3 linked regions of the Mus musculus genome follow. The protein of the gene in region 2 interacts with the protein of the main gene of each other region in a biochemical or structural test. Links are inferred from orthologs where the notes say so. Each region holds a gene or a part of one and is shown on either strand. Other genes may lie near its edges. The genes, in order: Ywhaz, Prkcz and Pard6b.

The links.
Region 1: the proteins of Prkcz (region 2) and Ywhaz form a complex in vitro, tested with the Homo sapiens proteins (2 studies listed by BioGRID, with this or other methods). The link is inferred for Mus musculus from reciprocal best matches to the Homo sapiens genes PRKCZ and YWHAZ.
Region 3: the proteins of Prkcz (region 2) and Pard6b form a complex in vitro, tested with the Homo sapiens proteins (2 studies listed by BioGRID). The link is inferred for Mus musculus from reciprocal best matches to the Homo sapiens genes PRKCZ and PARD6B.

What each region holds. Positions count from the first base shown.
Region 1 is NC_000081.6:36,791,784-36,795,530, reverse strand, and holds the start of Ywhaz (14-3-3 protein zeta/delta), read left to right. Parts: upstream 1-992; 5' UTR 993-1,386; exon of another isoform or gene 1,387-1,611; intron 1,612-1,852; exon of another isoform or gene 1,853-1,855; 5' UTR 1,856-2,052; intron 2,053-3,747.
Region 2 is NC_000070.6:155,260,382-155,264,028, forward strand, and holds part of Prkcz (protein kinase C zeta type), read right to left. Parts: intron 2,437-3,647; coding exon 2,321-2,436; intron 2,151-2,320; coding exon 2,063-2,150; 3' UTR 1-2,062. UniProt on the Homo sapiens protein: Calcium- and diacylglycerol-independent serine/threonine-protein kinase that functions in phosphatidylinositol 3-kinase (PI3K) pathway and mitogen-activated protein (MAP) kinase cascade, and is involved in NF-kappa-B activation, mitogenic signaling, cell proliferation, cell polarity, inflammatory response and maintenance of long-term potentiation (LTP).
Region 3 is NC_000068.7:168,097,875-168,101,621, reverse strand, and holds the end of Pard6b (partitioning defective 6 homolog beta), read right to left. Parts: intron 3,239-3,747; coding exon 2,412-3,238; 3' UTR 419-2,411; downstream 1-418. UniProt on the Homo sapiens protein: Adapter protein involved in asymmetrical cell division and cell polarization processes. Probably involved in formation of epithelial tight junctions.

The sequences.
Region 1 (3,747 bases), on a different chromosome or scaffold from region 2:
CAAACTCACCAGTAACTTCCCCATACTTCAGGCCTATAGGCTCTGGGTTTTGGCTTTGCTACATATTATTCTTTAGAATTCTTCTCAGTTGACCTTCCATGGCAAATCTAATTCTGGCCCCCTTGCAGCCTTATTATGCCTTTATTAGGCAAACATGTTGATTGGAGTTTGTAAAAACTAAAAGCACCTTTTGGTTTATTAAAACACAAAGAAACCTTGCTAGTTAATGCACAAGGCAAAAGCCCAAACTATTTTCCAAAACAAGTCTGCAATTTATGCAGAGAAATCTCTTAACTTTCCCTGAGGTGTATATTCCATATAGACGTGTATTACAGACATTAACAGACATTTCCATTTTACAAAAGATTTAACCTAGTATCTTCTGTCAAATTTCTAGCACCTACTACAAAACTGCAAACATAAAAGCTTTTGAAATAGTCATTTTAAGTGAGTCACTCCCTGAAAGAATTTACATTACAGCCAAAGTAAGTTGACTTCAGTATCTTGGAGATAAAACCTGAATTAATTTGCTCATCTGCTTAGCATGTTATCTGTTGCTGTGGAAACCGGTGTGTGTGTTGGGAGGGGGGAGGGCGGTTGGCGAGGGGAGCGACACTGAACTGGTCACAGGCAAATCTCTACCTAGCTGTCATTTCAGGCAAATTATAATTTGTACAACAAACTTGTGATTCAAACAATGTAACCAACATTCTGATGAAAGACAGTGGTAGGGAAAGAATGCTTGTCATGAAGTCTTCCAGGGGGCTCTGGGGCTGAATTCCTGAGGTTCTTTTTCCAGTTGTGCTTAGTGTAGGCCCCAGAAGGGGCTCAGTGAAAATATTTTAGCTCAGAGGCGCACATTTAAAGAGAGCAAGGACAGATTCTTCATAGAGACTGCATCTCCTTTCAACTTCCGTCTCCTGGGTGGAGACCTTGCGGGTTCAGGCACCTGCAATTTCCGCCCTTTTCCTCCCCCCCCCCCCTTTCCGGGCGGAGGAGCCTCGCTCCTCCTCCAGCTAGAGCCCTAGGAACGGCCACGCTCCCTAACCTTGCTTCCAGGACCTAAAAGGGTCGGTCACTCTCTTACAATGCGCTAATTAGGAACAATGTGTCTCCCAATGAAAGCTCTACAGAGGGTAAAGTGCAGCCCACGACAACAGTTCGGTGTGTTCTAGCCTGTTTCCCCGCCTCGCCCCACGTCAGGCTTCTACGATCACGTCCAACCCGCTAGCCCAACCCTTTCCCCGCTCCTCCCAGCGACCACCCATTGTCCCCGCGGCTGTCACGGTGTGGACGCCGAGCTCGCGACTGGAAAGGCAGGGCGTCATTCAGCCTCGCGCTTTTCCCAGCCTTAAAAGGTCTAAGGCCGCTTCCTGCAGCCAGAAGGTAAAGCGGGCCGCCCGAGGGAGCAGCCGCGCCCGGGCCTCCCTGCCCCGGCGTTGGCGGAGCCGCTGCCCTACTCTCGGCTTCTGATCACAATGCCCTGGCAGTAGAGCTGCCTTCACCCTGCCCCGCAACCCGCCCACCGCCATTACCGGCGCAGAGAGAGGGCGGCCGAGCGGGAAGGGGGTGGGGGGGAACGCGAAGGTCCCGGATGTGCCCGCCAGTGAGGTGGGGGCGGGGAGAGGCTTCCTTCCGCGGGCCGCAGGGGCGGGGAGGGAGGGCAGCTCGCGGGGGCGGCGGGGAGCGAACCGAGCACGCGGGTGAAGGCAGGGTCGGGAGCGGAGCGGAGCGCGAGTACGCGCTCTCCTCCGCTCGCCCTCGGGCACGGGCGGGCCGGCCGGGCGCGCGCAGGGGAGCGGCGGTTGCGCCGGGCCGGAGAACTGTGGGCACCAATCAACGGTTGCCATAGCAGCGTTTGACGTCATCGTGCGTGTGGTGCCCCTGCTGCCGGGGCTAGTGATTGGAGGAAACCCCGTGTCTGCGGAGCGGCTGTAGCCTGTGAGCAGCCAGATCAGGGACAGAGTCTCAGCCTCGCCGCCACCGCTGCTGCCGCCGCCGCCCAGAGACCGCCGAGCCGCGTCCGTGTGCCGCCACCCACTCCGGACACAGGTGAGGAGCCGCCCGAGTCGGCCTCCGGTCCCTTCAGCCCGCCGCCGCGCTGCGGCCCGAGAGGGGTCTTCTCAGGAGGACCCGGGCGGCGGCTCGGCTCTGCCGGGCCCGGGCAGGCGCCCACCGCCGCCCCCGGCCGCTTGCTTCTGGCCTGCCGGGCTGCTCATCGCCCCGTTCTGGTCCCCGGGGTGGGGGTGGCGGATGAGGCGCCCACGCGCGAGACCCAGGGGCTCCCGCTCCCGAGGGCGACCGCGATCCGCCCCCGCCGGCACCCTGCTTCCGCCCGCGACTGTGACTCGGCCGTGGCGCAGGTGAGGCCGCCCCCACCCGGGGCGCCCCCGCCACCCCCTCCCCCACGGCGGGGGGCAGCCAGGTAGCACGCGGGGCTCTGGGGTGGGGCCCGCCAGGGACCCTGGGCTGGGCTCGCTGGGGCCCGCAATGCCAGAAAGGACTCTCGGGACGCGCGGTGGGGGAGGGGCGCGGCCAGAGCTAGGCGTGGGGGTACCGGGGCACGGGGTCCCCAGCGTCCTGGGCTGGTGGGAGGTTCGCATCTTTCCAGGAGCTGCGGCCCCAGGATGGGGGCTGCGCCTGTCTGGGTGGGGCCCTGCCCCTCCCCCTACCGCAGCTGTCGGGACATCGGGGCTTGGGTCGGACACCGGCGGAGGGGACCCTGGGCGGGAGCGGGGTGTGTCCGGCGCGGGCCGGCCGCGGTTCCGCTTCTGCGGGCGCGGATGGCATCGGGCCCCCGGGGAGGGTGATCTGCTCCCCCTCCACCACCACCCTCCGACTGGGGCGGGTGCACGGACTGCTCCTCCCTCTGCCCGGGTGGGGGGGCGATTCACAGTCGGAGTAGGTTGGGCTCCTTGACACAGTTCCGCCATGACAAAGAGAGTCGGGGACTAGCGCGGAGGCACCAGCCTGGGCGGAGCCAAGGAGGGGAGGTGGCTGCGGATGGCGCGGACGCAAGGACTAGCGCTTTAAAGTCACCGCTGCGCGGTTTCGGTTCGCCCCACCCTCCGGCCTCAGGCAGCCAAGGGTTAAGTGGGTGCGGCGAGTATTCCCGCAGTCTGAAGGCGAGGCCCAGGAGCGCTCGTTTTCCTGTGAGAAACCTAATCCACTTCCCCTTATCCGGGAGGTTGGCGGGGGAACGTTTGTACTGACTTAGGCTTACATCATTTTTGGAAGCAACATTTACCAGTGACCGTTTCTAATGTTAGATTTCGAGACCCCGGGGGAAGTATGGGTTCACAAATTTTAAATAGTTAATGCACGGAAGGTACTGTGTCTCGAATTTAAGCTAGCCCTATCCGTGTTTCTGTTCTGGACACTGCTCATTTGGCTACCAAAAAGAGGTCCTTTCTGGAAAGGTAAAGGAAAGAATTTCCATGGTGGGCGGCAGTGACTCTTTATTCCTACACTTAGTGCATTCAGGTTGTGACTTTTCATTAAAGTGTATTTTGTGGGATCACTATATGATTTAGAATTTTGCTCTTGGAATTGTTGAAGAAATGAGAAGTAAATTGGAATCTAGGGAACTTTAAAATTGAGCGAAAGAAAACTGGGGAAATATGAGGAAGACCAGCTTGAGGAGTTGTGACTGCTAGAAATCCTGCCGTGACTCCAGACTGCAGCAGGCAGCAGACATCGGAAGCGCTTGGCTCCCTCCATGTGCTGTGGACGCCCTAGTGCTCACTC
Region 2 (3,647 bases):
TTTAATTTATAAAACAAATTGCTATATATAAAAATCTCCCCCTCTGGTGGGCACAATATTATTCACACATTTGTACATGAGCAGCCGAACCAGTAACCAGCAAGTCATTTGGCAATAGGGCAGTATCCAAATAAGCCCCCATGTCTAACAATCCAGGGTTCCAGTGCTGCTTGGGCAAAGCAGTTGTTGCTGTCCCTAGGCAGCACACTGGGAGGAAAGGAGGCTCGCAGGAGCCCGTTTGCATTTGGATCATCTGCGGGCTCTTTATCTTAGCAGCTCAACTCATGGGCAGCTGTGACTACACAGGCCTCAGACTGGGGCTCCAGCCACTTGGACCCCCAGACTAGGCTAAGTACCCCTGGAAGGCCCCCAGGCTGGGCTGGGTACTCCTGGGAGGCCCAAAAATCGGCTCTTAGGCTCTATTTGCATTTTTTGACTAGTTGGGGACATATCTTACCAATGGACACAGGGAGTGCTGGCTAAAATGTGTCCATGATCAATAGGAGACACAGAGCCACCCAGAAGCCTGGACTTGGGATATGGTGTCAGAAACCTGGGCTGCCTGTTCTGTCCCAGCACCATGGATCTGGGTGTGGCTCTGACACGTTTCAGTGCCAGACATGGCGATGGCCTGAGAAACCTGAGTGTTTTGGGGTGAGGGCTGTGGGTGGCCACTGGGCGTCACGGAGAAGCAGGGCAGCACCGTAACAGCGCCTCTAAGATTTTCATTTTCTCCAACTCTGATCTTTGTCAGGACCACCAACCCCAAGGCATGAAGCAAATATGACCGGAGCCTAGACTCCACTCTGCCCTGACGTGGAGACTGAGGGTCTCAACCTGGCAGGGTTGGGGGGGTGTGTAGCATGTTTGCCATATGGGCCAGCCTGGCTTGGGTGGGTCTGGGGTGCTCAGTCACTGCGGTGTGCCTTCTCCATCTCCTGCCCACGACAAAGGTGGGTAAGCCATGGCCACACCCGACCTGCTAAGGGTAACGTTAGCTGACCTCTTCCCAGAAAGCCTTGGGCTGGCCTTTGGAACTAAGCTGGAGAGGAGGATGGCTGAGCACAGCAGTTATGGAAGCAGGCGTGCTTCCTCAGGAAGAGTGTGAGATTATGGGTAGTCTGTCACTTTAAGGCTAGGGTCCATCACACACGTTGTCTTTAAATTTCCTAATCTGGAGTATTAATGATAAAAATATTTTCCAAAAAATCTAATGTATAACACAAGATGTCTTGGAGGCACTGGCTAGTGTTTTCAGAAATATATTTTGTGCGGATTTAGTTTTCAATTATTTTCCCTTTTTATTTATTTACCTATTTATTTGGTTTACTGATGCTTTGGTGAGCAATGTTTTAGAATCTCTATGATCCAATTTTCCCCATCAGAGTCCAAACAGTTGGTGGGAACAGTGCCACCAACCTGGTAAGGGTGTCCCTTCGGCCTTGGCCTACCATGGCTAGCTGTGCTAGGTATGAAAATACTTGTTAAATATTAACAACAGAACTTACCGGGATTTAGAAAACGTTCCGAATCTGTAACAATTCTTGTTGCAGCGCATCCCTGCAGGCACTTGGGTGCCTGTCCCCTGCCTACGTCCTGACTGCTCAGAAAGCGCAGCTCCTCCTCATGTGGGGGCTGCGCTGGGGACATCAGGCGGGTGCCACAGAAAAAAGGCATCAGAGGAAGCTTCGACATCATCGGTACACTTTATTCCTCAGGGCATTACACGCTAACTTTTCCTGGAGCGGGTCAGTGCATCGAGTTCTGTTTCTGTGGAAGATGTGCACCTTTCCAAACGGCGTGGCTGGCTGTCTCACCCTCCGGTAGGGCCTCTGTGCACAGGAAGCGGTTCCTCCAGCACAAAGCCAGCCTCTGGGGCCTGGACACAAGAGATTGCTCTGTCTAGAAGTGCCTGTTGGACGCCCCTCTTCGGTCTTGGTGGCCAGCATCCCTCCCTGGCTGCTTGGAGCCTCGGTGCCCGGCCTGGCATGCATATGCTGTAGTTAAGGGTAAAGTGACAGGGTCATTCACAGGCGTGTCCACAACAGAGATGCTCATGGCCTCACACGGACTCCTCAGCAGACAGCAGAAGTGGGTTGATGTACTCAAAGCCTTCAAATTCGGACTGGTCGATCCTCTTTATGACGTCCCTAAAAACACAAGAAGCAGATGAAGACTGGCAGCTGTGTCCCTCCCCTAGTTCACACTCTAGAGGCAAGGACCCAAGCATGGGGCCATGCACTGGCCCAGGGGTTCTAGCTGCTTAGGACACGTTCCACTGTGACACTTGTCGGGGCAGGTCAGGATACCCGGGACTTACTCATCATCTGGGGTCAGCTGCACAGGCTCGCTGGTGAACTGCGTGTCAAAGTTGTCCAGGCCATAGTCATCTGTGATCTGGGGCTGGAAGGGAGGCAGGGTCTGCTTCTTTTCCAGCTGGGAACATTGACAAGAGAGAGGTCAGATGGGTGCTGAGCATCCTCTCTGCCAGCATCAGATCTTTGTGTGCACATAAATCACAAAATAAAATGGGAAGCTCAGTTTTTCAACATGCCTGGTATTTGAATGCCATTTTTTACCCCTAAAAGCACAGACTCTAGAAGAAAATATGCAGTACCAGGAAAAGTAAACAGGTTAAAAAGGTGCTGGACATATAGGCCCCATTGTGCCTAGCAACAATGTTACCACTGGCGGCTGAAAGCTCGTGCGCACAAGTGCCTAGAAACAATGTTACTGCTGGTGTCTGAAAGCTTGCTTACACAGGAGTGCTCTCTCTCTCTGGTCTCAGAACCTGATCATAATGGTATTTGGGTGTGACAACATCCTCACCTAGATGGGCACGGGGAAAGTCCACCTTCAATCCTCTCCTCATTCTAACTCTGTCTCCATCTTTTACTATTTAGAGTTGGACCCTCTAGCCCAGCAGGGAATGAACAGCCATCAGGAGAGACTGGTGTCTGGCATGTGCCACGTGGTACCGAGATGTATGTGGCAAGAAATCCTCTCAGTATCACACTCATACCAGGTGGTGGTGGTGCATGACTTTAATCTCAGCACTGGGGAGGCAGGTGGGTCTCTGAGTTCGAGGCCAGCCTGGTCTACAGAGCGAGTTCCAGGACAGCCAAAAGATACAGCTGCTCTTTATCAAGCAGGGCTCTTGGGCTACACAGGGGTAATGACACAGTGGGGGCATCCCTGAGGATTTGGTGCCCAGCCTTCTGTCCAGCATTCACTCTGCTCTTTCAGGGGAAGGTGGCTGACAACGGGTCCCAGAACGATGTGAAGATCTGTCCTATGGGCCACACTGCCCTGCACGGGCTTGGGATGCAGGCATTATGTGGCTGGTGTGGAGCTGATGTGATGTTCCCTAGTACATTTAGGCTCTGTGGCAGGGATCAGTGTCTGGCTTATAGATGCATCTCAGTTCTTAGAAACAAACCTGATCCGACAGGCGTACCGCACACGTGGGTAAGTGATTGATGAGTAAGGAGAGGTAAGGGTCCCAGTGCAGTCCTGCTGTTAGATGGAAGGCCCAAGACTGGGTAACTTACAAGGACTCGACATTTGCCCTTGTGTGCCTGGGGACGGAGGGACACAATGACTCCTTACCCCTAATGAGACACCCCAAGCCCATGCCTTCAGCCTCA
Region 3 (3,747 bases), on a different chromosome or scaffold from region 2:
ACATGTACACAAATATACTTCTGTGTGCACACACAAAATACCTTATCTTAACATATGTTCTCAGTGTGTAGCCTAGGCTGGCCTGGGACTCACAGAGATCTGACTGCCTCTGCCTCTCAAGTTCTGGACATCAAAGGCATGCCACTGCACCTGACCTAAAACTAAAAACCAAAACAAAACAACTAGGGAATGGCCACATGGCCTGCGTCTGTCATTCCAGCTCCGAGAGACCGAGTGCCCCGAGCTGGGGTTCAGCCTGGACAGGTGGGGGATGTGGGGACCGAGGCCTGGGGCTCAGCATAGCCCTGGAAAAGGGTCAAGGAATCAGTGGTGACTCAGTTTCACTCCCTATGCAGTAACTAAGGATGCTTGGCAAACATCCTTACATCCTCTCTTCATGTAATTTCAAACAAGAAAGTAGCCTTTATACAAGTCCGTTTTTATTTGTAAAAAATAATATGTAACTAAAGCTAACTTGATTCTTAAAATCAAAGTTCATTTAGTGATAATGTACATTTTATAATAAAATTGTAGTAAAATACTGACATTTAATAGTTTAAACAAAGTATCATTCATGTAAAAATCATGTTATAGCATGTATGTTATAGCATGTAAAATTTAATTAGAAAATTCATGGTTCACAACAGCACAGCATCTGGTTGACATGGCGGACTTAGGACAGAACAGAATTCACAGTGAGGCTCGACGTTCGGGACAACAGAACTGCACGCTAAGCTGCCGACGCTTACGCTCCTGTTCCGAGGTGTCTCAAGAACTGAGCCGACGGGACGGGACGGGACGGGACGGGACCTCCACAGCCAAGACTCACTGGCCTCACAGAAGGTCTACTGACATTGACTTCATTGGTACGACCTCATCACTAACAAACACTATTGTCCTTGAAATTAAAATCAGCGTCAGCAGCTCTGATCTCCGTTTTCAGACAGAAGAGAAATCTGTTTTTCAGTTAAAATTTGTACAAAAGTCAAGCCCTGAAGTATTTCTTCCCCCAAGAGAAAGGTTCTATGTTAAAACTCTGTTAAAAAAAGAGAGAGAAAGAGAGAAGAGAGAGGTAGTATGTGAAATATCTTTACTTACAATGCTGAGCCCATGCACCCCTAAGTTACATATGCAACTGAGCCTTCTGTGCCTATGGCTGCCTTCCACTGCAGGGAGCGCAGTGTCAGAGGGGGAGCGAGGGGGAGCACTGCTAGCAAGCGGTGGGTGCCGTGTGAGAGGAGAAACTCAGTGAATTCAACAGTCACAGGCTCACTGCACCCAGCCTCCGCCAGGCGCCTGCAGATAACTCGCTCAGTCAGTGCCCTTCATTGGATCAAGACTTCATTTCTGCCGGCTCTTACTACGAGGAAAAAGTCCTTCAACTCGGAGTCAGTACACACCTATGAGGCACCCACACTCGGCCACCACAAGGTTAAGAAATAAATAACTGTCCCCCTCAGAGCCTTGGGCCTCAGGGAAGTCTGAGCCACACACGTGGGTCTCGCTGACTGTGCATGCAACAGGAGGGAGCCAGGTAAGGGAAGACAACTGCGGTCCCCTCATCCCAAATGGACGCACAGAAGAGAATAAATAGACTCAAATAATCACCAGCCCTGCGAGTGGTGTACTTGACACGGGTTTCCCCAAATGTGGGCAGCACCCTAGAATCCCCAGGAAGAAAACTCCGTCTTTTGAATAAAAAGTGCACATCTATATCGTGTGTAAGTCTCTTAACCTGGGGGCATTTTTATCCCATGATCCACACTGTCTGGTACACTGAAGAGTGTGGGAGTCAACTAACTATGCTATCACCTACCCACAAACACACACACACACACACACATACACCACACATACACACACACACACACACATGCGCACACGTGCACAGCACACACTGAAATAATCTCCACTGGACTGGAATGAAGGACTATGGCACCCCGAAACTGTAAAGTTCCAGGGTGACGACAACAGGTGTCGCTCCAGGGCCAGGGGAAAGGCCCCTAGACATGGCCAGCTAAAGTTTTAGAAAATGGGAAGACAGAACAAAAACTGCACATGAAAAAATAATTTGTCACAGTTAACAGAGGAACACTTTAAAAGTCAGAAAACAGGGTCTGGGAATCGAAGAACCGAGGTCCCCAGTGGCTAGCAGATGATCAGACTTCACAGAGGGCAAGGAGCGGGCTCTGCAGGCAGGTGGACACCGGCCACCGCAGCTCGGCTCAGGCAGGTCTCAGTTTCAGAGCAGCAGCACCTGCTCCGTGTCACGGCAGCCTGCCTCGGCAGACTCCCAGCCCAGCCCGGCCACACTTGTTGTGGAACATCAGGGCCTGCAGGTCCACAGTGTCAGTCATGTGTGCACACCAACATTGTTCCTTACACCCTCAAACAGAAAACAACCTGGTGGTTCACAATGTTATGATTGTCCCATCTTCCTCTAAGAGTTTCTGGTCCGGAGCCCGGCTTTCCAGCTCTGTGTCCAGGCTGCCGGGCACAGGCACCAGGCTCGTGTCCTGAGGAGGGGAGAACCCGTTCTGTCCGGACTCAAAGCTGAGCTCGATCTGCGTCAGGGACTCCAGGCTCTGGGCGGGGGTGGCCTTCGGGATCTGCTGCGGCTCGCCACTGTCTTCAATGATGATGTCGTCCTCGTCGCTGTCCTGGTCCTCGGGCTCGAAGCTGGCCTCCACCTGCTGTGGGAAGCCCAGGAGGCTGTTGTCAGTGGACTGGCTGGAGCTGCCAGAAGTCCGACTGTTGCGCACCACGTTGTTCCTCTGGTTGGCCGGGCGCACGGTGATGATGAGGTTGCGGCTGTTGGCTATCATCATGTCAGTCACCTGGTCCAGGCTCTTCCCGGACACTTCTATACCGTTGACTTCTAACACCTCATCGTTGACAGCTAGCAGGCCCGTGCTCTGGGCCAGACCCCCAGGGACGAGCCGAGATATGAAGATGCCGGGGACTTTCTCCAAGCCGTGCGGTGTCACTCGGACGCTGGAGCCATCCCGGATGTAGAAGCCCAGCGGCTTCTCTGTGCCGTACTTGTACAGACGGACCCTCCGGTGCGTCTCTGGGAGGATGTCCACGTCGATGATGGATGACACGGGCCGGAAGTCCTGCGGCATGCTGATGACGATGTGAGGCTTCTTCCGGTGGTTGTCGGGACGCAGCACGTTGCTCAGCATGTTCTTCTTCCTGATCAGGGTGTCGGTGCCAAAGGCACTGTAGTCAGCTTCTTCTGCGTGGAGAGAGCAGACATGGGACAGTTACAGACCCGCTGAAACACAGCTGCCCACAGCTGCCCCAGCAGACCAACGCCAGGCAATGCACAGGCCACCTCGGCTTGAGTGGCTGCTTACTCAGCCAGACTCAGTCACTGCACCAGTGACTGCCGTGCCATCAGAAGACACTAGAGGGCCCTCTCACACATCACAAACATCACTAGCTATGAACACCTTAACTGGCCAGTGAAATTCTGATAGTCAATTGTGGCCCACACACCTGTTGTCATCCCCCTGCTCAGGAGCCTAGGGCAAAAGGTAGAAGGATCCCAAGTTCAAGGCCAACCTGGGCTATATCATATCACAGCAAGTTTGGGGCTCCCCTGGACTATGTCCTGAAACCCAGTCTCAAAATCTAAAACACACAAAACAACAACAAAATAACCTGTGGCAAATCTTACAGGCTCACATTCCCTTCCCCCTTTTCTCAGGTGGAGTCTCACACTGCTAGGCCGGACTCAGTGTC